Canis lupus familiaris: one gene and its partners. The protein of the gene in region 2 interacts with the protein of the main gene of each other region in a pairwise test. Links are inferred from orthologs where the notes say so. Each region holds a gene or a part of one and is shown on either strand. Other genes may lie near its edges. The genes, in order: TNIK, TRIM2, LRRC8E, CIB3, UBE2K and UBAC1.

Region 1 (4,180 bases), on a different chromosome or scaffold from region 2:
TCTCCAGACAGGATCTGCTTTTAATGCATTGAGCTCAGGGTTTACAAAAGAGCATTGATTGTGTACATTAAAGAGCCACCGAGACAGCAAGGGACTGGTTAAGGCTGCAGCAAATTCTCCAAGATGCCACTGACCTTGGCTGCATTTCAGGGGTCAGGCATTCCCCACGAGGCTCTCAGCAGGCGGGCTTTCCTGAGGGGTTAGGAACTAATGAGACCTCTCATCTGGATAAACCCACCTCTCCTAATTTGGAAAGACAGAGAGACATTATCTGCTCTCGGATTTGTGGAGATCACCAACAGGGCCCTTGGACTCAATGGCCCGCCTGCACACCTCACCCCCTACAAGACTGGTCATACTCTCCGGCACCGGGGATGCAATCGTCTCCACATCTGCATTTAGGTCTTCCAGCCAGCCAGCAGTTCCTATCTCTAGAGCTGGCCTTCGCCCTCCCTCTTCACACACCTCCTGCAGGCAGAAATACAGAGGCAAAGCACTAAGCCCAGGCGACAAAGAGCAATTTCAGTGAATCCTGCAAGATCTCTTTTCAAAATACAGATCTCTGGAGCACAGGCCTCCCGTGTGTGATTCACACTCAGGCAGGCCCGGTGAGCCCTCGTGGTTGCTCACCAGCCTGCAGGCTCTGGGCTCCGGATCTCAGGAAACCTTCCCCGTGAAAAAGCCAACGGGGGACACCTCTGACCGAGGCCAACTTAAAAATCGCCTCGGATTGCTTTCTATTAGAGGAGGATGAGGACATTCTGCTCAGGAGAAAACCACAAGCCTTGCCCATTGTTCAGGCTCCTTCCCCTACCCCCCACCCCACCCCCTGCGGGGCTTCGCCACTTTCCCCTACCCTGTAGTCTGGGCCATCCATCCACCTGATTAACCCGCTGGCAGCAACTCCCAGCACAGAAAGTAGGGCAAATGAACACACACAGCCTGTAAGGCAGGAAACCACAGACTTAGCCAAAGCACCCACCCTGTTACCAGCCCCCACCCCCAGCTGCCCAGGGAGCTGCGGCTTCTGAATGTGGCATTTCTGCACCAGGCGAATAGACAGCTTACTGTAATATCACATGAATGAGCTTTTGCTGCCCAACTATCCAAAAAAAAAAAAAAAAAAAGAGGCCATTTCAAATGGCATCTATGTTCCTTCTCAACCCCTGGACTGCCTCGCAGAAACCTCACCTCTGGGAAGGATGAAGCAGAAGAGGAGGGGAAGTTCCACAAGAGGAGGCTGTGCAAGGGAGGGAGGCTTTAATGAGCCGCAAGAAAAAGTAGCACTTGGACGGTTCAAGGCAGCTCTTCAAGATACCCGTGAGGGAAGGGGCAGTGGCAGGAGGAGGGGTGAAGATTCAGGTCTGTAACCCCGAGATTTAGCATCAGTGTAACCATGTAAGCCTCAGGAGGGCGTGTGAACTTCGCGGCTGCACCCCTCCTGCGCGGCTGCGTGGACAGCACCGGCGAGGCGGGCCCCGACCCTCCGCGCTGCCAGGATACACATGCAGTCGCTTTCCCCCCTTTAATTCCTAGTCTTCGTTCAGGGGGAGGAAGAAGCCATCCTTAACTGGGGTGCGATCCATCTCAGACCCCCCCCCCCCACTGGCTGCAGCATCAGACCCTCCCTGTCCCCCTCTTCGGGAGGCAGCATCTCATTAAAATGGCAAGAAGTCTCGGCCCCCTTCCCCCGAAAGAGCGTGTTGGGATCCGGGGGTGGGGGTGGGGCGTCGTCGAGGCTACACTGGGGTTCCCGGGATCCGGAGCTCAGAACAACAGCAAAATGGATCCTATGGCAAGTGATGTCTCAGTCCATACAATGAAAAAAAAAAAAAAAAAAAAAAAAGGGCGTCTGGGGCGATTCACGTGAAGGGAAACGCAAAGCCAGCCGCGGGGCCGGAGGAGCTGGATGCTCCCCCTACTCTCCCTACAAAGGGCTGGCCGCGGGCACACGCGCACACGCGCACACTCACGGGAGTTCCGGTCTGAGCGGGGGAGCGCGGAGAGCACATCCCTTCACCTGCCTTAAGTTGGCCCATAAAACTGAAATGTCAGGGCCACAAAGTCAAAAAAAAAAGAAAAAAAAAAGCAAGCAGGGCTAAGTTACACCGTAAACAGGGGTGCGCGAGGCGGGCGCGGGAGGGCGCGGGGGGAGCCTGGGGGCGGCGGCCACCGACGGGCACCGGCGTCGCGGGGTCGGGGCCGTCGGGCTGCCCCGGTCACCCCGCAGCGAGCTGCGCAAAGTGAGCGGCCGGTGCGTTTCTCCACGTTTTGCAAAAAAAGAAAAAAAAAGGGGGGGGGGGGAGGGGGGACGGTGGGGCGTCGCGCCTTGCACGAGCTGGCCGTCCGGGGCGCGTGTGCACAGCGCACACACGCGCGCGCGCACACGAGCATTCCACGTTCAAGGCTCGGGCGCCGGGGTAAGGTGAATGCCCCGCATCCCGGGGAGCCCGGCCGCCGCCGCGGGGGTCACGGAGCCGAGGCTCGCCCGGGGCGGGGACGGGAAGCCGGGGTCCCCCCCGCCGCCGCCGCGCATCCGCCTTGCCCCCGCCCGCGCGCCGCCCCTAGCCCCCGGCGAGACCCCCCGAGACCCCCCGAGAAGCCGGTTCTGCTCACCCTCAGCGCCGAGAGATCGATCTCATCCAGGCTGCGAGCCGGGGAGTCGCTCGCCATGTCGACTTCTTCGCGGGAGCAGCGGCCCTGCGCCCCCCCGAGGCTCCCCCCTTGCAGACTCCACCTGGTCTACCGGCCTCGCGTCCTCATGCGGCTGCCGCGCCAGAGGCCCCGGCCCAGCCCCCGCGCCCGCCCCGGCCCGGCCCGGCCCGGCCCGGCCCCGCGACGCCCGATCCCGCTGCTGCGCCCGCGGGCGGCCGCGGACCCGGAGCCCGAGCTGCGCGGCTCTCCCAGCCCCGAGCCGCGGTGCGTGTGGGCTGCGCGCCCCGCTCGGCTAAGGGCGCAGGGGCTGCGTGGGTGTATTTAAATGGGACATGCTTCCCTGCCTGTGCGTGGATGGCGGCTGCATCGGCGGTTATAATGAGACACATCAACTCCTCCACTCCGCCGGGGGGTGGGGGCGGACGAGCGCCCCGAGCTGTCCATCAGCGCTTCCTGGGAGGAGTGAGGCGGGGGGCGGGGGCGGGGCGGGGCGGGGCGGGGCGGGGCGGGGCCTCCGCCCGGGAGAGGCCGCGCTTCCTGACCCGGGCCCTCTGCACCAGCGCGCGGGGCGGGGCGCGCCCTCTCGGCCCGGGCGCCCCCCGCGGGGTCTGGAGAGCGGTCCCCGACCCCGCCGGGCCTGTCGCGGGGGCCAAGGGCCTTTATTCGTGCGCGTCCGAGTCGTGCGCTGCAGCACAATGGCCCTCCTCGCACCGGGGGCGGGGGCGGGGGGCTCTCGGCAGGGTGCGATGCTCCGCGCTTTGCACATCCCGGGGAGGGCGGTGGGGTGCGGGGGGGGGGAAGAGCGACGGCCGCCCTCCCCCCATTAGTTATTTGTGAGGCTGGAGTAGCACGGGCTGGTGCAACCGGTGCATATAAGGACTTGTGTGCAGGGAAGGGGATCCGCCTCCAGGCGCGGAACGAATGGGGGCGAAGCGCACGGGCACCCTGCGCTCCAGCGCTGCGCCGCGGCGGGGGGGGGCGCCCAGCGACCCCCGGGAGCCCGGCAGGGGGCATCCGGGACCGGCCACCCGCGGGTCGGGGGCTGGGAAGGTTACCCCGGAGCGGGAGAAACGCAGATCGGAGTTCCCTGTTGGCACCGCCACACCCAGGACCTGCCCGTACCGCAGTTCCCCACGGAAACGACCGAAGCGAAACGAGCAGCTTCTTTTTTTTTTTTTTTTTTTTTTGCTTTTTTTTTTTTTCTCTCCCTTCCCCCGGGTGCCGCAGCGTCAGGTACCCCTCCAAGGGCGACAGCGGGTGGGGCGGCGCACGTCGGCCCTGGGGGCAGCATTTCCGCCGCTGAGCTCCTGGGGCGGGCGGAGAAAGTTTGGCGGGTGCTGGGAGGTGTGTGTGCAAAATGCACGGCAGGAGGGCGAGCTCACCCCCACCCCCCGCCCCGCCCCGCCCCCCGCTGGCTCCTGGAAAGGCTGAGCGTGGACAGTGGTAAGCATGACCTTCCCCAACCAAAAGTATGAGGTCACTTCCCCCGGGCCCCCCGCGCAGGAAGGAAGGGACGCGGGAGCCC
Region 2 (4,129 bases):
TTCTTGAAAAACCGTAAGTATAAATGCCAGCTGTACTCCACAGGAAATCCTCAGTTCATAACACATGGTTATGTACTATACATCTTCCCGGTGACTCACATGTCGGTCGCTTACGGGCCATGTGACTTTGGGCAAGTTACTTAACCTCTCTGCCCCAGGTCCCCTCTCTGTTAAGTGAGGACAATAACTATCCTTACTTTATGTAGTGAGGACCCAGTGAGATAAAGTCCTGGCACATAGTAAGTGCTCAATAAATTGTTGTTGTTATTATCATTGACATTTACCATGTATTTCGCCGTACATGCTTGTTTGTTTGACTCCGTGGGCCCATGAGAACAGCCCTCGGTATTTTAAAGCTCTAGAAGAACCTTGTTATTGTAAATCTCTTATGTTAGCATTAGGTCATATAAATTCTGTATCTGAAATTCTAAGAACCTGGCATGCCCACCATTCTGATAAAAGCAGCTAGAAAAGAGGTACCTGGGTGGCTCAGTCGGTTAAATGTCTGCCTTTGGCTCCAATCAAGATCCCAGGGTCCTGGGATCGAGCCCCACATCACCCTGCTCAGCAGGGAGTCTTTTTCTCCCTCTCCCTCCCCCCGTTCGTGCTTTCTCTCTCATTCTCTTTCAAATAAATAAATAAAATTAAAATTAAAAGATTCCAACTTGGGACACCTGGGTGGCTCACTGGTTGAGCGTCTGCCTTTGGCTCAGGGTGTGATCCTGGAGACCCGGGATCGAGTCCCATGTCGGGCTCTCTACAAGGAGCCTGCTTCTCCCTCTGCCTGTGTCTCTGCGTCTCTATGTGCGTCTCTCATGAATAAATATATAAAAATTTAAAAATAAAATAAAAGATTCTAACTTAAGCAGCATAAACCATACTTCCCCAACCCCACAAAAAGACAAAGAAGAAGAAGAAGAAGAAGAAGAAGAAGAAGAAGAAGAAGAAGAAGCAGGACAAGCGCTGTCTTTGTGCCTTGGGGGGGTCTCCTGGAATTCACGCCATCTCCTCTCTCATCAGCCCTCTCCTTTGTCCTCTGTCATTGTGCCGTCTTGCCATCTGGGGGTGCTTGTCCAGCGGGAATGGAGGATACACAGATCCGAAGGAGGCCAGGGTTAGGGTGTGTGAGGCCTGAGGCAGGAGGCTGGCTGGGGCACCCCGTCCTGTGCCTGCTGAGCCTCCGCGCCACCTGCCACAGCACCAGCAGAGTCAGAAGTTCTGTCCTTGCACAAGACTGTGGCCACTCGTGCCCCCCTCCCAGGACCTCAGGCCCTGCAGGAGACCACAGCTTCACTTAGAGACCACCTGCTATATTCGTACACTGAGCCGAAACACTCAGGTTGCTCTGGATCAAATTCATTAAGAACAACTTCTGCATCTGACTTAATTCCTCCAGGAGCCCCCAAACAGGTTGGCTTCAAACGTGGTACATCCAGATAATAAATACAAATTCTGGGGGTTAGGACAGGCAGCGAAATACATAAAGCATCACATGTCTTAGTCTCACGGGTCACTTTGAGTTTCTGTAAAAGTTAAACTCCACCTCTTCCCTTTCTCAGGTTCTCTTCCTGCTCGAACCGAACCCCCAAGGGGGAGTTCACTGACTTCACACCGAGCGGTGGCGCATCAGAAAGGAGGGCACAAAAGTCTCCGATCAAAGCTGCCGGCGGTGCTTTTCCGTTTAGCCGGAAGCAGTCAGTCCCAAAGCAATTCATTCCTGGGGCTCTAGCTGTGCCAACCCCCCCCCACCCCCTCACCCCCCGCCCTTATGGCCCCAAACACATTGCGCCCCCGCCCTAGCCTGCAGCGCCCCTCTGCACCACGAAGGGGGTCTTAGCACCAAATAGGGCAGCGGGGATACTGCACTCAGGCAGCGGGGACTGGTGCCCGAGCCCTCTTCCACCCTCTCTCGCTTACTTACAAGGCAGAAACCAGAAAGAACCCCAGGTGGGCAGGCCAAGCCCATTTCAGGTTTCACCCCCAATCACATGGTGTCCTCTGGCTCCACAGACTTCCTCCTCGGTTAGTCAAGGACAAATGCCCTCATCGCCTGGGGCCCTTCCTTCATTCCTGAGCCCCACTGCAGCCGGCCAGAGTACCCTTTGAGCACTTTTATGGGCAGTAAAACTTTACAGCCGGCCAGCTCCAAACCGTTCCCACATTTCTGAATAGAACTATTTATGACATACAAGACTCCTATGGCTTGCCCTTTGGAAATACCAGCAGATACCAGACCCCTTCAAACAGGGTCGACCGAGTTACATCGGTTAACAGCCGGCTTACAGAAACCCCACAGAGGCAGAGCCAAACTCCTGACTGTGAACACTTAAGTCCGAAAACAAAACAGCCTCTGAGCCTCACAACATCCCTGAAGCAGCCGTGTGCTCTGCCTCTCCCATGTTGCTTTGACATCAAACCCACTTGCGTGCCTCCCCTAGTTTTTTGCTTCCCTGCCCATTTCTTGCCTGGGTTGGCCAGGATCACTATGAGCTTTGTCAGCACTTCCCAGAGAAGCGATCGTCTCCTCCCGTTGCTAGCAGGCAACACAATTTAAAACCGAGAAAAAGCTAGCAATTCAATCACAACTTGTTTCTCCTAACTGGTGCCCAGGATTAACCAGCTAGCCCGTAAAAAGCATCATCACGTCCTCAGAATCGTCCTTACCCGTGTTCCATAACGGCCACTCTGGTGCATCAGAGACTGGCCCCAGCCTCCTCGGATGTGGGGACTCAGCTCTCTGCAGCCCACAGACAATTGGGCCCATTATAGTCATCAGGCTGCTGAGTTAAAGGGTGGCCCTTACAAAAATATAAACAGCTTGTCAGCACAAGCCAAAGGGGCGGGGCTGCAGTATCAGGGGACAATGGGAGCCAATGATCAGCCTCTTTGGGCTCTGTTAGCTTAAGATATTATGTTTCATTCTGAAGTCGGGGAGACGGGGAGACCAGACCGAGAGCCCGAGGGAGACACCCAGATAGGAAGGGCCAAGTTCTCATCTTTATAGCCCAGCAGCATGAAAGGAGTCCAAGCTGAAAAGTTTAATCACTGTGGGCAGACCAATTTCAAGGAAAAGTTTGTATGCCTCACACATAATAATACATATGTTTAAAGTCCCAAACATTGGTGTTGCACTAGTCATCTTCACTCTTCTGGGGTCAATAAGTGTACTATTTATTTAGGTAGATAGCAGTTTTTCAATCAAAGAACAAAGTCCAAGGAAGCTGCTTTTATGACATGCTTATTTTGTTGAATAAAGTGTCTGAAAAAAAAAAGAATAAAGTGTCTGATGAGAAGCATTCACTACCTCCACAGAGAAAACGTTGGATTTGATTGGTATGTCTTCAGAACCCAGAGAAAGGGGCTTATTTTTGCCCCCAAATATAAATGGTTCACATTCATTTTTTAGATACTCACTTTATCTGATCATACGTATACACACAAAGCAGAAGTTAGTTCAGTATGTTTGGAAGAAGAAGACGGGATAGCCATGGCTTTTTTTTCTCTCTCTTGATCTTAACTAAATTCTGCTTTTAAAGCTACTATGCCAGCTTAACCTTTCAATACCCTATGATAATAACCAAGAACAAGAAAATAAACTGTGGTTTTTTTTTTCTGTATATGATTTCTAAATGATACACTGAAGTAAAAATAAAGTTAAGAGTTATTTGGCTGATTTGTGGCATTGCATGAATTATAGTCATACAAACTTTGAGAAAAGTACAGTCATTACAATTTGGAGCAGTCTCATTATTTACATAGGGGAGCAGAGTAGCTATCAAAATTAACTAGCAAAGAAACAGAAAAATGTTGACATATACTTATTTTCCACAAATGCTCTGTGAAGCCCTTCTGACTTTGATCATAAAAATCATAATCAAAAGGCACTGTCCTTTCTAATCTATGTCAGTTTTTAAAATGTTATGATTCTGTCACTGGTATTTAACTCCTATTAAAGGAAGACTCCTCCGGTGGCCCTTCCAAATAACGTATGAAGCAGCTTCTTATTCTCCTCTTCTAACGATTCCAAAAGAGCTGTTGTATCTGGACTGCCATGGCTCTTGACTTTAAAGAACAGACCTTCTAGAAAAGGTCTAGTTTTCCTCTAAAGCATCATGATTCTCTTATTTAA
Region 3 (2,543 bases), on a different chromosome or scaffold from region 2:
AGCCTGGTCTCCTCGCGGCTCAACTGGTCTGTGGGCGCCCGGGAAAATGCCCCCATCTGGGATCCTGGATTTCGGAAAGCAGCTTGCGTCTGCTCTCAGTTGCGAGGAAGAGGCTCGCATTTTTTCAGACTCCTTGAGGTGTCCAGGCCCGGGAGGTCCAGGTCAGGCAGGCTGTGCCCTATGCCCTTCCTGCTCCTGGTCCAGCACGGGAACACTGGCGGGCGCGGAAGGCTTGTGGGGACTCCCGTGGTGACAATTTGCGGGTGGAACAGATGCGAGAGTGTGGAGTCCGGAGAATAATAAGGAATGGAGAAGAAAGAGAGTTCTCCAAAAAATAGCTACGCAGATGATGCCTGATAAGCCGAGGTCTCTCCTGCCTCTGCTTCCAGGACAGAAACTCATACCCTTGATTCCGCCATGTGAGTGTCATTGCTTGCCTGTTATTGGTCTGGCGAAATGGAAGGCTTAGACAAACAGGAGTGGATACCAGAGATCGGAAGTTTAGTTCTCATAATTCAGATTATTTATTAAGCACCCACTGGTAGATGCTCTCTCACACAGGAAACACTGGAAAGACAAAATCCCTGCCTCTGCTCAGAAAAATTTAACCTCCTCGGCAGGCATTCTTAACACTGGAGTCTGCCATCCTTAGGATGTCCGTGAATGGCCCTCTGGGAAATCTGGGGGAATTTGCTGACTGCCTAAAGTTGCTTGCGGAACTTTGCATGTATGTGTACCTGAGCATTTTCCTGGGAAAGGAAACACCCAGCTTTTCTCAGATGTTCAAAAGGTGTAGGACTTAGAAAGGGTTCAGAATCCCTGCTCTGGACTTGCAGATTCTGTAGGTCCGCAATTCCCAACACACAGGTCTAGGACCACCTGCATCAGAATTACCTGGGATGTGTATTTGCAGGCAGGTTCCTGGCCTCCAGCCAGACCTGAGTCAGTCTTTCAGGGGTGGGGCCCAGGATGTTTTGTTTTGGGGATGTTGATTTTGATGCATAGCCAAACACGAGAACCATTTTTCTGATTTTGCGTGTCCATAGCAAACAACTTATAAATAAGGATTTGGCATCAAAGTTGGGGGCAAGGGTCACTCATTAGTCCCTTGTGTCTGTGTCCCCTCCTTGGGAGAGAACACCAGCTATAAGGTGTTTTGAGGGGTGGGGGAAAGGGCTGAAATCCCATTGGGATGTGCCCCAACCCCATATATGGCACTAACTAGGCCAGAATGTCCAGGGTGTGGGCAGGACAGCCAGCCAAAGACGCAGGTGTGGTTTGGGTCTGAGAATCCTATGACTGAGTTAATCCCTCTACGACGTTCCACCCCAAATCCACAGCCTCTCATCTCTTCTCAGACAAACCAGTCCCAGGATCTTGCCTGGAACCCATGGTGGCTGATGCGTCTGCTCCTTCTCTCCTGGCCTGGGCCCTCTTGGCCACCTCTCTTGAAGACAGTAGTAGAGATTCTGCAGTGGAAGCATCCAGAAGGCCTCTACCCAGCCTTCCCCACCTTTGCTTCATTCCTCCTCCAGTTTCTCCCGCACCTCTGCCGGCAGGCCCTCGTAAAGGGTGTCTTCTACGAGGATCCCCACTTTCTTGAGCCCCACACAGTTGCCAAGCTCTTCTGGTAGTGCCTCCAAGCGGTTGCCCTTGAGCTCCAGGCGGCTGAGGGCTCTGAGGGCCCCCACCTGGGACGAGAGCTGGCTCAGGTGGTTGTAGCCCAGAAGCAACGTCCGCAGCTTCCGGCAGAAGAAGAGCTCATCAGGCAGGGCCTCCAGGGCATTGTAGGACAGAGCCAGGTGCTGCAGGTTCTGGAGGAGGCCCAGCTCGGGCGGCAGGGAGCGTAGCCCATTGTGGGAGATGTCCAGCAGGCGGAGGCCGGAGCACATGCCGAGCTGGGTGGGCAGGGTCTCCAGCTTGTTGTGGCTGAGGTAGAGCTGCTCCAGGCCCCGGAGCTTGCGCACGTGCTCAGGGACGTAAGCGATCTGGTTGTGCCACAGCTTGAGCGTGACCAGCTTGCGACAGTGCTGGAAGCTGAGGATCTCTTCAATGGACCGCAGGTGGTTGTCCCTGAGGTCAAGTTCCTGCAGCGCGCCCAGGCTGAAGATGGCATGGGGGATGCGCTCCAGCCCGCAGGCCACCAGCTCCAGCTCCCGCAGTGCCGCCAGCTTCTTAAGGCTGTTCAGGGCCAGCAGGCGGGCCCCGTCGTTGTGCAGACTAAGCCGCTGCAGGTGCCCGGCCACGTCAGTCACGCTGGCCGGCACCTTGCTGGCATTGCTCCGCAGAGACAGCGCCTTGAGCTGCTTCAGCTCCCGGAGGCTCTCTAGGGCCGCTGCCCGAGCCAGCTCCGGGGGGAAGAGCCCCTCGAGGTGCAGCTCCTCCAGGCCACGCAGCCCAAACACCCACAGGGGCACGTCGCGGAGCTCCTCGCACTTGACGCAGATGACCTTCAGGCGGTCCCGCAGGAAGATCTGCAGCGAGAAGGGCAGCCTGGCAGGCGAGTGGAGCAGGCTGAGCTCCTGCAGGTGCACCAGCTGCGA
Region 4 (2,997 bases), on a different chromosome or scaffold from region 2:
CCCCTCAGAGGCCTCCTCTGGCAGTTCTAATGAATGAGAAAGGAGTTAAAGCTTTGGTCCCCTTGAGGAACTCAAGGATTGTTGGGGGGAGAGGGAACTCAGGAGGTTGGGGGTAGGGCTCAGCCTTGGGAGGCCCTGGGGTGAGATCTCTTCGGCCAGATCTCTACATCTGGTCTCTGCCCACCTAAACTAACAGCTACCGGGGCACTTCCAGGCCTCATGGTGGACAAAGATCTAGAAATCAGCCACTTCCTTGTATAATTGGGGAGATCATGGCTCACAGAGGGCGCAGCCACACCCAGGGTCACACAGTGAGGGCAGAGGTGAGATCCCAGGCATCCTCTCTCTCATCCGGCAGGTTTAAGGTGAAAAACATGCCTTCCAAGCAGATGTGACTCAGTGATGTGCGTTTATTCCCAGAACCCACGGAGACCGGATTCCACAGTGGAGTGAGGGGTCACCCGGTCCTCCTCTGACCCAGCTTCTCGCCCACGGTGCTCTCAGATGCGGATGTGGAAGGTGCTGTGTGCAAAGAGAAATAGAGTCCGTCATGAGGCAGAGCTTGGCCCTGGCTCGTCCTCCTCCTGAACTCTCCCAAGGGGAGTCCCTGACACAGGCAAGGAGCTACTAAGGGGAGATGGGTCCGCTTAAGAACCCCAGGCGGTGGCTCCCCTGACTCCCACAGGGGCGGAAAGCACACCTCTTTGGATGGGAGTTGACCTTCCGGCTCCGCCCCAGACTTGCTGTGGGACTCTAAGTGAGTGGCTACCCCGCCCTGGGCTTCAGTCTACTCCTCTGTAAACGAAGGATAATAGCCGTCCCTCCTACATGGGGCTGTAATGAGGGCGAAAGGGGCAAAGGCACAGGGTGCTGTCGCACAGAGCTGCTATCAGCGATAGGGCTCATTCAATTGTCATTATTCCTGTCTCTGTCAGCTAAGAGACCAGCGGGCTCCTTCAGGTAGAGGATGGGGGGACCTCCGTGCACATAAGGACACCACCCGTAATTATAGCCACGACAGCAACCCCGGCACACAGATACTGAGCACCTACTGTGTGCCACGCACTGCCCTAAAGTCTTCCCATGTACTAACTCGGGGGTCAGCCAGCTGTTCCTGCAAAGAGCCAAATGGTTGATATTTCCAGCTTTGTGCAATGACTCAGTTGAGCCTTGTAGCTCAAAAGCAGCCGTGGCCAGTACATACATAAGCAGGCATGGCTGTGTCCCAGTGAAACTGTTGATGGACATGGAAATTTGAATTTCATATCCATTTCATGTGTCGTGGAGTACTATTAGTCTCTAACCTTTCCCCCACCATTTACAAAATGTAAAAGTCATTCTTAGCTCCCGCGAGGTACAAAAATAGGTGGCTGGCCACCCCCATTAACTTGCTATCAGCCCTCCGGTGAGGGCTCTGATTCCTCCCAGGACTGCCAAACACAGTTGCCCACTCTGTTCACTGCAAAATGTTCAGGCAAGAGAGGGCTGAAGACCAGCCATGTTCCATTTGCCTAAAGAGCTGTGTCCACCCACAGGGGGTGCTCATGGGGCCCCCAATTATCCCCACTTTAAAGATGCAGGGACTGAGGCCAGGGAGGCTGGGAAAGTTCCCTATAGTCACAAATGAATGAATGGAGGAGCTTTCACAAGTGGAGTCCGCACACTAGTTCTGCAGGAGCCCCTCTCAGACATGGAAATGGATTGTGCAAAGTGGCGAGGAGTGTCACACCTGAGGAAGTCGGGTGCCCGCAGGATCATGTTCTGGAAGTCTTCCAGGGAGAGCCGCCCATCGTGGTCCCCATCGGCCTCATCTAGCACCTTCTCGCACACCAGGCTCACCTCCTCAGCGCTCAGCTCCCCTCGTGTCAGCTTGGTCACTGTCTGCTCCAGGTCCCATGCACAGATGTAGCCGTCATTGTTAAAGTCTGTGCAGTGGGATAGAGGGGATGTGGAGTGGGGGCACAGCTGGGGGTAGACAGGCCGGGCCTCTTGTCCCCTTGTTGCAGAGGAGGAAACTGAGGCACCGGAAGGAGCCCAAGACCCTGGGGTAATAGCTGGATCTTGCTTTAGAATTGGGCAGAGTCCTGCTGGGAGGTCATTCATTCCCCCCATAAGTATTTACTGAGGACCTACTATGTGCCGGGCATATGTGACTGTTTTTAATCTACAAGTATTTAGTGAGTGCCTACGATGTTCTAGGCACCGTGATAAAGTTTTGTTCATTTGACAAGCTTTTAGTGAGCACCTACTGAATGCTAGGTGCTGTGATAAATTTTCTGTCAGTTAGTCACACAATATTGAATGCCTACTTTTTCCCAGGCACGGAAGACAGATGGGGACAAAAATAGATACTCTTGCTGCCCTTGGGTTTCATCAGAGAGAAATCAGTATGAAGAGGAATGAAGCAGCACTGCTCCATGCTGGGAGAGGAAATAGGATGTGGGGTGTAGAGTGGTTGAAGGTGGAAGCTGCTTTTGACCTAGACTTCAAGGTAAGCAGGAGTCAAGGCAGAGCTGTTCCAGGCAGAGGGAACAGCAGATGCAAAGTCCTAGAGGGAGGAGGAGTTTGGGGAGCTGGAGGAAGAGAGAGGCCAATGTGGCTGGAAAGGAGTAAGGGGATGAGGTCAGCAAGTAGCAATATGGGGCGCAGGACAAGTCCATGCGGGGCCTCAAAGCCCCCTGGGGAGACATCTGTGACTGCAGGGCAGCTCCTGGCCCCACACCTGGTCTTGTTCCCACCCCCACCCCACCCCCATGTTCCCCTACCCCCGAGCTCTGCACACACCATAAATTTTAAAAGCATAGTAGGCTTTGAGGTCGCGGGGAGCCATTTCACTCATTACGGAAAACATGTCCAGGAAGTTGTCCAAGGTCATGTGGCCGTCCCCATCCTCAGAGAACACCTGGGCAATCCTCTGGCGGAACGGGTTGTCCTGGGGACAAGAAGCAGGGAGGGGACTCAGGGCACCATATGGGATCACTCTCAGCACCCACCTTC
Region 5 (3,936 bases), on a different chromosome or scaffold from region 2:
AAAATATGTATTTATTTATTTTATTTCTCCATTTTCCACTTTAACATACAAACTATTTTCACATGTTTTAGTTTAGTGGTGCTGGTAGTGTGGTCCCTGAACCAGCAGCAAGAGCAGCAGCATTTGAGAACTTGTTAGAGAAGCAAATTATTAGGTCCACCCCACACTCTAGGGATGGGGTCTAGCAACCTGTTTTTGTTTTGTTTCGTTTTTTTAAACAAACTCTTGAGGGATTCTGATGTAGATTCAATGTTAAAAACTTAAAAAAAAAATGTCACTAGTGTCAAGGTTAAGAAACCCTGTTCTCTTTTTTTTAATTTTTAAAAAAATTTTATTTATTTATGATAGTCACAGAGAGAGAGAGAGAGAGGCAGAGACACAGGCAGAGGGAGAAGCAGGCTCCATGCAGGGAGCCCGATGTGGGACTCGATCCCAGGACCCCGGGATCATGACCCGAACCCAAGGCAGCCGCTCAACTGCTGAGCCACCCAGGGTGCCCCCAAGGTTAAAAACTCTTACACCTCGGTACTGATGATCTAAGTAGCTCAAAGATCAACATCTGACTTCGAAATCTACCTCAGGCATCTACATGGAGTTACCTGTTTCAAATACACCTGATGCGACCCAACAATGACCACTTTGAATTCAGCGACGTGGAGTATCTGGAACAATCGCGTTAGTAGTGGCACTTTAATGGCTTCAGAACAAAAACGGACCGCCGTGGGATTTTTCTGGGCCTACACCGACAGAAAATGGGCCGGATGAGTTCTGGAATGGTGTTTTCGTGCCCTCGACCCAGTCAGGCGCAGCAAGCCCGGGGGTCCTGGGTCTGGCTGGGTCAGGACGGCGCTCGCAGCCGACCGGGGCCGCGAGAACCCGCTAGCTCGCGCCCAGCCCTCCGTCAGAGGCCGCGGGTGGGAAGCCTCGGCCGCACCACAGCGATTTGGAGAGGGGCGGAGGCACCCGAGAGGACCCGGGAGGCCCGCGCAGGGCCGGCCAGCGCGGAAGCCGCACCCTCCTGGCCTCAGACGCCGGCAGGGCGGAGCCACGCGGCCGCAGCTCCGGCAGAGACGCGCGGCGCAGCGCGGCGCGGGCTCGCGTTTGAGGCGTATGGGGCTACAACGGGAGCGGCTGCGCCGCCCGGCCGGGTCAGCGTCTTGCGCATGCGCGGACCCGGCGCCATTTTGGTGGCCGGGCGCGGAGGTGATTCCACACTGAGGAGAGCGCGGCGGCCGGGTGGCAGTGGCAGCGTTCGTGTGCTCGGGTGTGAGTCGCCGAGGGAGGAGGCGCTGGTGGAAGAGGTGGCGGCGGTGGCGGTGGTCGTAGCGGTGGCGGAGGAGGCGGGTACGAATCAGCTGCGGGCGGAGACATGGCCAACATCGCGGTGCAGCGAATCAAGCGGGAGTTCAAGGAGGTGCTGAAGAGCGAGGAGGTCAGAAATGAACTCCCAGACATGCCCCCACCCCAGCCCTGGGCGGGAGGGTGCTCCCAGCGGCGACCCCGGCCCCCCGGTAACCCCTGGGTGGCCCTCTTGGCGGCCGCCCTTTCTGCCTGTGGGGAAGCAGCAGTCTCCCCCCTGCTTCCGTCGCCCTCCCCTCCCCTCCCCGGGCCCTGGGATGGACAGTCTCGCGGGCGGGCGGTCTGGAGAGGAGCACGGTTTGGGGGGCAGATGGAGAAGGGGGCGCCTCCTGGAGGGGTGTGAGCTCTAGAGAGAGCCCGAGGCCGTGGCAACAGCTGGAAGTGTGGATGTAGGGTGGGGAGGGAGCAGGCCGGGCCTGAGAAAACCCGGGAAGTGGGTTGGGGGAAGGGGAAAGGTGGTAACTGGATCCCGAGAGCCGCGCCGCTCCGAGGCCCGCACTTTTGAGGGTTTTCTACGTTACAGCCTCTTTGGCCTCCACTGTCCTTTTCTTTTGGGAAGGAGCGGTAAAAAGACCTTAGGTACTGATGAAAGAAGGACGTTTCAGAGTTACTCCCTCCTTAGTTCGGTGTTGGGAGAGAAGAGGAGACGTAATGGGATACTATTCTATTGGAGTGGGGAATGAGGGAATTTTCACCTGAGGTAGGGAATTAATTCCAAAATAGATCATTATCTCATTTTTCCCGACTTCCCCCCCCCCCACAACCCTTCCTTCACCCCACCCCCAATTCCTAGGCCTCTTTTCTGTTGACATCTAAAGCTTTTTGATTGGGTCGAAGGCATGTTGTTTGGTGTATTAAAGGCATTTAGATATTTTTCGATAGGAAAAAATAATGGAGGGTAAAGAGTAGCTTATTTCAAAATATTGTTTACAAGTTACAGGTCAGAGTCTCTCCTAAGACAATGCCTCTGTGACTGTTGTGTTATGCCATGAAACTTCATTATGATGTCTCTCATAGTTAACTTGATTCTTACTTTTGAAAAACCAGCCCTATTAAAAACATGGGATTTCCCCCGGATTAATATATTATTATACCTCCTTATTGAGTAGGTTTGTATCATAATTGAAATTATTGGAAACACTTTTTTTTTGTCTCAAGCTGCTCTTGAGTCCTGCAGAATTTAAATACTCTGCTGTTTGCCATATTTACTTATATAGTATATTCAGAATATTCTAGTGATTTGACTCAAAACTGTACAAGGATCAGTACAATTTTTTATACCCACAACAACAAGAATGCCAAGTTTTTCCTCCTTGGATTTAACAAAGAGAGAGATGAAAAAGTAATACTGAAATAGTTATTATTTTCAAGATGTCACATACCATTATTGGATGTATCATTACTATTTGTATTTTTCTTTTATGTTGGAGCGTTGATAATCTCAATGATTTGTGAAATTCAGCATTCTAATGAGTAATTGACATAAGTGGCAATACTTGAGCTTTATTTATGTCACTGATTCTACAGTAATCATTTCTCCAATTAGACATGGAGAATATAATTCTTTAAGATTAACTTAAAATAACAAATACTAGCGATTTACTAATGTAGTAGTCTATAAGAAATGATCTGTTTTACAGAGCATGTGTATGAACTCTGACCTCTGTATTTGTTCAAGAGCCAAAACTCTGAATGGAAGGATGACTTTGTATTTTTGTGGTACAATGCAGAAATAGGATCATAAATGTCTGTACTGATATACAGTGAAACAATGATTCTAACTTTTTATTCGCAAGAAAATATGTTCCAGGATAGTCGACATATATATAATCCTATGAAATATTCAGCTAATACTGTTGCCAACAGCCTAAAACATTTCTTCTGTTAATAAAGTTGTACAAGCCTGAGACTTAATATGACTTCTTTCTAGTGCTTTATTTTCTATTAAAAATGGTAAGTTACTGCTCTCAATTCATATGGTCTCTTTGCTTCGTATGAGGTGACTTTCACTATATTTTTAGTACTTCAATTAAAGCTTAAAAGAAATCTTGTATCAACTCTAGTATGCATATTGTTAAAACAATACTGCTCTGTAAGGGATGTTGAAGTCTTGCTTCAAGTAAGCATTATGGTATTTCAGAGAAAGAGAATAGGAAATGCTAATAAATTGTTTTAAGAAGAGTACCTTTATAAACCTGGAAGGAAATTTCTTCTAGAAAATAAATTGCAGAGTACATTTAGGAAAGGGTCAGATAATTTAATCTTGGATTATAACCAATAAATAGCTTTATTTTCATCGATATTTTAGTAGGTCCAGTTTTATAAGTGGATTGTGTTGATTATTTTCAGCTCATTGAATGACTTGTAGTAGAGTCCACGTGTTTTCCTTTTTAAGTGTGGAAATGTAGTATTTTGAGTGTCTGGTCAAGTAATTAAGTATTTCATCATATCATCTACATAAATCTCTAGGTTTCCCAAAGTTTGTTTCATATGGTCTTGTTTACTAAGAATACTGATTGGTTTAAGGAATTTTTTTTTTTTTTTGTCTTTTGTTTTCTAAAGATAGCTGATGTTTGC
Region 6 (3,500 bases), on a different chromosome or scaffold from region 2:
TTTCCCTGCAGTTCCAGACAGAACTCCGGAGAATCCTGGTGTCTCTCATTGAGGTGGCTCAGAAGTTGTTAGCGCTGAACCCAGATGCCGTTGAATTGTTCAAGAAGGCAAATGGTACGAGCAGGCTCCAGGTTGACTGGGTCCTGTGTCCAGACTCCACTGCTTGCCTGGCCTCAGAGGCTGTATCAGTGGCCCACGGGCCCAGCGTCAGTCCTTTCTGTGGATGTGGACTCCTGTTCAGCATGCCGGGTGAAGGTTCTGTGTAGATTTGCTGAAGTTTAGGGAGTTTGGCACACAGGTGGGGTCCTTGGGCTCCATGGTGGGGGGGTAGCCCTCACGCTGGCCTGGCCCTCACAGGTGGCCCTGTCTCTTGCCCTCAGCGATGCTGGACGAGGAGGAGGATGGGAGAGTGGACGAGGCTGCCCTGCGGCAACTCACGGAGATGGGCTTCCCGGAGAGCAGGGCCGCCAAGGCCCTCCGGCTGAATCAGTACGTCTGGGCCACTTCCTCCCCTTGGTGCTGATGCTTGGCAGCCCCCCCAGGGTGATGTCCTTGGTCTCCTACTTTTAGATTGAACCATTTTTAATAGAGACTTTAAACATACGTCCCAGAAGTAGCTGGGACATCTCGAAGTGTCTTAAGACAGTGGAGACGGACTGGCCTTTGCTCGAAATGTGCTGGGGGCAGGCTGTCCTGTGGGTCCTCCCTGGGCTGTCATGTGCAAGCACCATGTTGAAGCCTGTGCCTGGCAGGGACATGGTGGCTGAAGGTGTGTGCAGTGTCCCCCTCAGCAGCCTCTCGTGCTTGCCTGGCCGAAGCCACTTGCTTCTGCATCTGCACTTATACCCAACATAAGTGACTTCTGACCCAGAAGACGGTCCATGCGCTGTGCTGCTCTTTGCCATGGAGCTAGGCCCTTAACATATACCTCACAGGCGGGTTCCCCATGCTCTGACCAGGGTCTTGGGGCGGTTTGGGGCAGGGCCTGGAGCTTCAGACCCTTCTGTACTGAGATTCTCACGATGAGGGGCACCAGAGAGGCTGTCCCTGGGGCTGTCAAGGAGGCCCTCTAACCGGCTGGGGGTGCTGGAAGGAGTCTCCCGTTGCCTTTCAGCATGTCGGTACCTCAGGCCATGGAGTGGTTAATAGAGCACGCGGAAGACCCGACCATTGACTCGCCTCTTCCGGGCCAGGCCTCACCGGGAGGGGCGCGGGCTGAGGCCGCTCCTGAGGCCGCTCCCGAGGCTGCCCCCGAGGCTGCAGGGACTAGCACGGAAGATGAGGAGCCCAGAGATGAGCTAACGGAGATCTTCAAGAAGATCCGGAGGAAAAGGGAGTTTCGACCTGATGCTCGGGTATGTGTTCTGCAGCCCTGGGGCAGCCGGGTGGGGTTGTGGTTTCTCTGTGGCGCTACACCAAGTGGAAGGAGCTAGAACCAGCCCTGGCCCTGGAGAGAGTAAAGCTGGGTGAGGGGCTTACAGACTGGCCCACATTCAGTTTTAAGTTGTCCTCACAGATCCAGGTGGCTGTTTTTCCTCCGAATAATTGGCTGACATATTTGCCATCTCCTGAAAACTCCTAGTAGGATGCCGGCCACATTGCCACACTGTTGGCGAGCCGTGGGCATGGGTGGAGACACCCTAGAGATCGGGAGATAGGGTGCACAGGATTGCCTGTGCGTGGGGAGGCTGGTCAGGCTCTGGCCATCTGGTGACCGTGGTGTCTGCAGCATCCGGGGACCTGGGGTTGGCCAGCTCTGGCTGTGTTTGGGTGGCTGACATTGCTGTACCATATCTGGTTGCCCCTTTTCCATTACTTCACTCCTGATGCTTCCGTGGCTGCGTGTTCTCCACTGTTCTGTTCTTCTCCTAGACTCCTGGTTTCCTCTTCGATGTTTTCTCTGTTCTGAGCCTGCGGTTTTCTTTCAGGTTATAGATCAGTGAGCTCTAGGCGTTAGACCTGAGTCCACCCGGTCTTGTGATTCTGCTTGGGGCACAGTGCTGTCAGAGTGGCTCACTGTAGACTTGTGTTTCTGTGGGAATCCCATGTGGCTGGGCTGTGGGATGCCTGCTGTGGGTGATTCTGAGGCCGTTTCCATGGGCTGAGTGGCATGTCCCTCTGGGGCCAGGTTTCCCATTAATCACACAGGCAGGACTCCTAGGCCACACGCGTAGTATAAGCCATGGCTTTGGGGTTGGCGCTTCCCTGCACAGGGGCCAGTGCTCCTCTAGCTCCTCTTCCCTCTGGGGGTGTACACCCTTGGCAGGGTCCTGCTTCTGAGCTCCAGGTCCTCATCTCATAGGGACCCAAGGCCCACATCCTGTCTGGGTGTGGCCGCTAGACCCCAGCCCGTAGGCCCTGCTGGTGGCTGCTGCTCCCTCCCAGGGCACACCATTTGTCAGGCCAAGTTGCTGTTCCTTGCTCTCTGGTGAGCTCAGCAGTGCCATCTGGAAGTGTCCTGCTTAGCGGTACCTGCTGGGTCCTGGGCTTCCCAACTGAGGGTGCTCCCATGTCGTCATCAGCCCTGTCACCACCTCGGTGGTGTCCATGTGCTCTCTTCGCAGACATGCACTCAGGCCGGGCCTTACACCGTGGCCTCTTTGTGGTACAGGTTCTGTGACGATTGTTATGGAAGGCTGTTGAGGCTGGGCCAGTGTGGCACACTCTCCCACCCTTTGGTCCTACACCGTTGGAGAGAAGAGTCCATAAGGACTGGAGTGTTAGTGTGGCTCCCGGGAAGCCTGGATCGGAGAGCAGGGCTTGCACTTGAGACAACAGACTTTGCTGTTATCCCCACCCCCAACACCTGCACCCCCATGCCAGTGCCTGCTGTGGGCGGGCAGCGAAGTGCAGTGGGCAGGGCAGTGAGTGCGCAGACTCCTGGCAGGATAGTGCGGGTGCATCCTTGCGGTCACTGTGCAGAAGTCCTGGGGCATCGCTTCCCCAGGCTGAGGTAGAAGTGAGTGACACAAGAGGCTAGTTTTTACTGATGTTCATGGAAAGACCACCCTATCCTTGGATTTAGTGGGAGGTTCTGGACTTTTTCTGTGACTTAGAGGTCAGGCTCTGGTGTGGTGGGTCCTCCCGACATTCATGGGTGGAGCCCCCAGCCCTGGGGTTACAAGCCGGTTCAGGAAAGCACGTGACATGGGTCGTAGTAGAAATGCTGCCTTGTGAGCTCACCGAACCCCGTTTGGCTCCAGTGAAGCGTCTGTCCTGACTGCCACCTGCCGCTGACTTCCTTCCTGCCGAGTGCTCCTTGGGACGTCCAGTTCAGGCTGAGCAGGGCCGCAGGGGTGTGGGCCCGGGGGCTCTGCGGGTCACTGCCAGCACTGACCCTTAGGCGCCTCAAAGAAGTAGAGCAGTTCAGCAGGCAGGCAGGAAGAAGACAGGCACCTTTGATCTTTTTTTTTTTTTTTTTTTCAAGAGGAACCCTTTTAAAGATTATATAAGTCAAGAGTAGGGGTGCCTGTCTGGGTGGCTCAGGCAATTAAGCATTT

What was found.
Region 1: the proteins of TRIM2 (region 2) and TNIK interact in a two-hybrid assay, tested with the Homo sapiens proteins (2 studies listed by BioGRID and IntAct). The link is inferred for Canis lupus familiaris from reciprocal best matches to the Homo sapiens genes TRIM2 and TNIK.
Region 3: the proteins of TRIM2 (region 2) and LRRC8E interact in binary tests that used the Homo sapiens proteins (3 or more experiments, as listed by UniProt). The two-hybrid records come from large-scale screens. The link is inferred for Canis lupus familiaris from reciprocal best matches to the Homo sapiens genes TRIM2 and LRRC8E.
Region 4: the proteins of TRIM2 (region 2) and CIB3 interact in binary tests that used the Homo sapiens proteins (3 or more experiments, as listed by UniProt). The two-hybrid records come from large-scale screens. The link is inferred for Canis lupus familiaris from reciprocal best matches to the Homo sapiens genes TRIM2 and CIB3.
Region 5: the proteins of TRIM2 (region 2) and UBE2K interact in binary tests that used the Homo sapiens proteins (3 or more experiments, as listed by UniProt). The link is inferred for Canis lupus familiaris from reciprocal best matches to the Homo sapiens genes TRIM2 and UBE2K.
Region 6: the proteins of TRIM2 (region 2) and UBAC1 interact in binary tests that used the Homo sapiens proteins (3 or more experiments, as listed by UniProt). The link is inferred for Canis lupus familiaris from reciprocal best matches to the Homo sapiens genes TRIM2 and UBAC1.

What each region holds. Positions count from the first base shown.
Region 1 is NC_049255.1:36,054,484-36,058,663, forward strand, and holds the start of TNIK (TRAF2 and NCK-interacting protein kinase), read right to left. Parts: upstream 2,801-4,180; 5' UTR 2,674-2,800; coding exon 2,617-2,673; intron 1-2,616. UniProt on the Homo sapiens protein: Serine/threonine kinase that acts as an essential activator of the Wnt signaling pathway. Recruited to promoters of Wnt target genes and required to activate their expression. May act by phosphorylating TCF4/TCF7L2.
Region 2 is NC_049236.1:51,380,465-51,384,593, reverse strand, and holds the start of TRIM2 (tripartite motif-containing protein 2), read right to left. Parts: upstream 2,801-4,129; 5' UTR 2,695-2,800; coding exon 2,665-2,694; intron 1-2,664. UniProt on the Homo sapiens protein: UBE2D1-dependent E3 ubiquitin-protein ligase that mediates the ubiquitination of NEFL and of phosphorylated BCL2L11. Plays a neuroprotective function. May play a role in neuronal rapid ischemic tolerance.
Region 3 is NC_049241.1:52,998,626-53,001,168, reverse strand, and holds the end of LRRC8E (volume-regulated anion channel subunit LRRC8E), read right to left. Parts: coding exon 1,521-2,543; 3' UTR 501-1,520; downstream 1-500. UniProt on the Homo sapiens protein: Non-essential component of the volume-regulated anion channel (VRAC, also named VSOAC channel), an anion channel required to maintain a constant cell volume in response to extracellular or intracellular osmotic changes.
Region 4 is NC_049241.1:46,726,623-46,729,619, reverse strand, and holds the end of CIB3 (calcium and integrin-binding family member 3), read right to left. Parts: intron 2,933-2,997; coding exon 2,785-2,932; intron 1,926-2,784; coding exon 1,730-1,925; intron 523-1,729; coding exon 501-522; downstream 1-500. UniProt on the Homo sapiens protein: Acts a an auxiliary subunit of the sensory mechanoelectrical transduction (MET) channel in hair cells. Plays a role in regulating hair cell MET channel localization and function.
Region 5 is NC_049224.1:73,349,853-73,353,788, reverse strand, and holds the start of UBE2K (ubiquitin-conjugating enzyme E2 K), read left to right. Parts: upstream 1-1,136; 5' UTR 1,137-1,369; coding exon 1,370-1,432; intron 1,433-3,936. UniProt on the Homo sapiens protein: Accepts ubiquitin from the E1 complex and catalyzes its covalent attachment to other proteins. In vitro, in the presence or in the absence of BRCA1-BARD1 E3 ubiquitin-protein ligase complex, catalyzes the synthesis of 'Lys-48'-linked polyubiquitin chains.
Region 6 is NC_049230.1:49,436,398-49,439,897, forward strand, and holds part of UBAC1 (ubiquitin-associated domain-containing protein 1), read left to right. Parts: intron 1-11; coding exon 12-114; intron 115-380; coding exon 381-489; intron 490-1,114; coding exon 1,115-1,355; intron 1,356-3,500.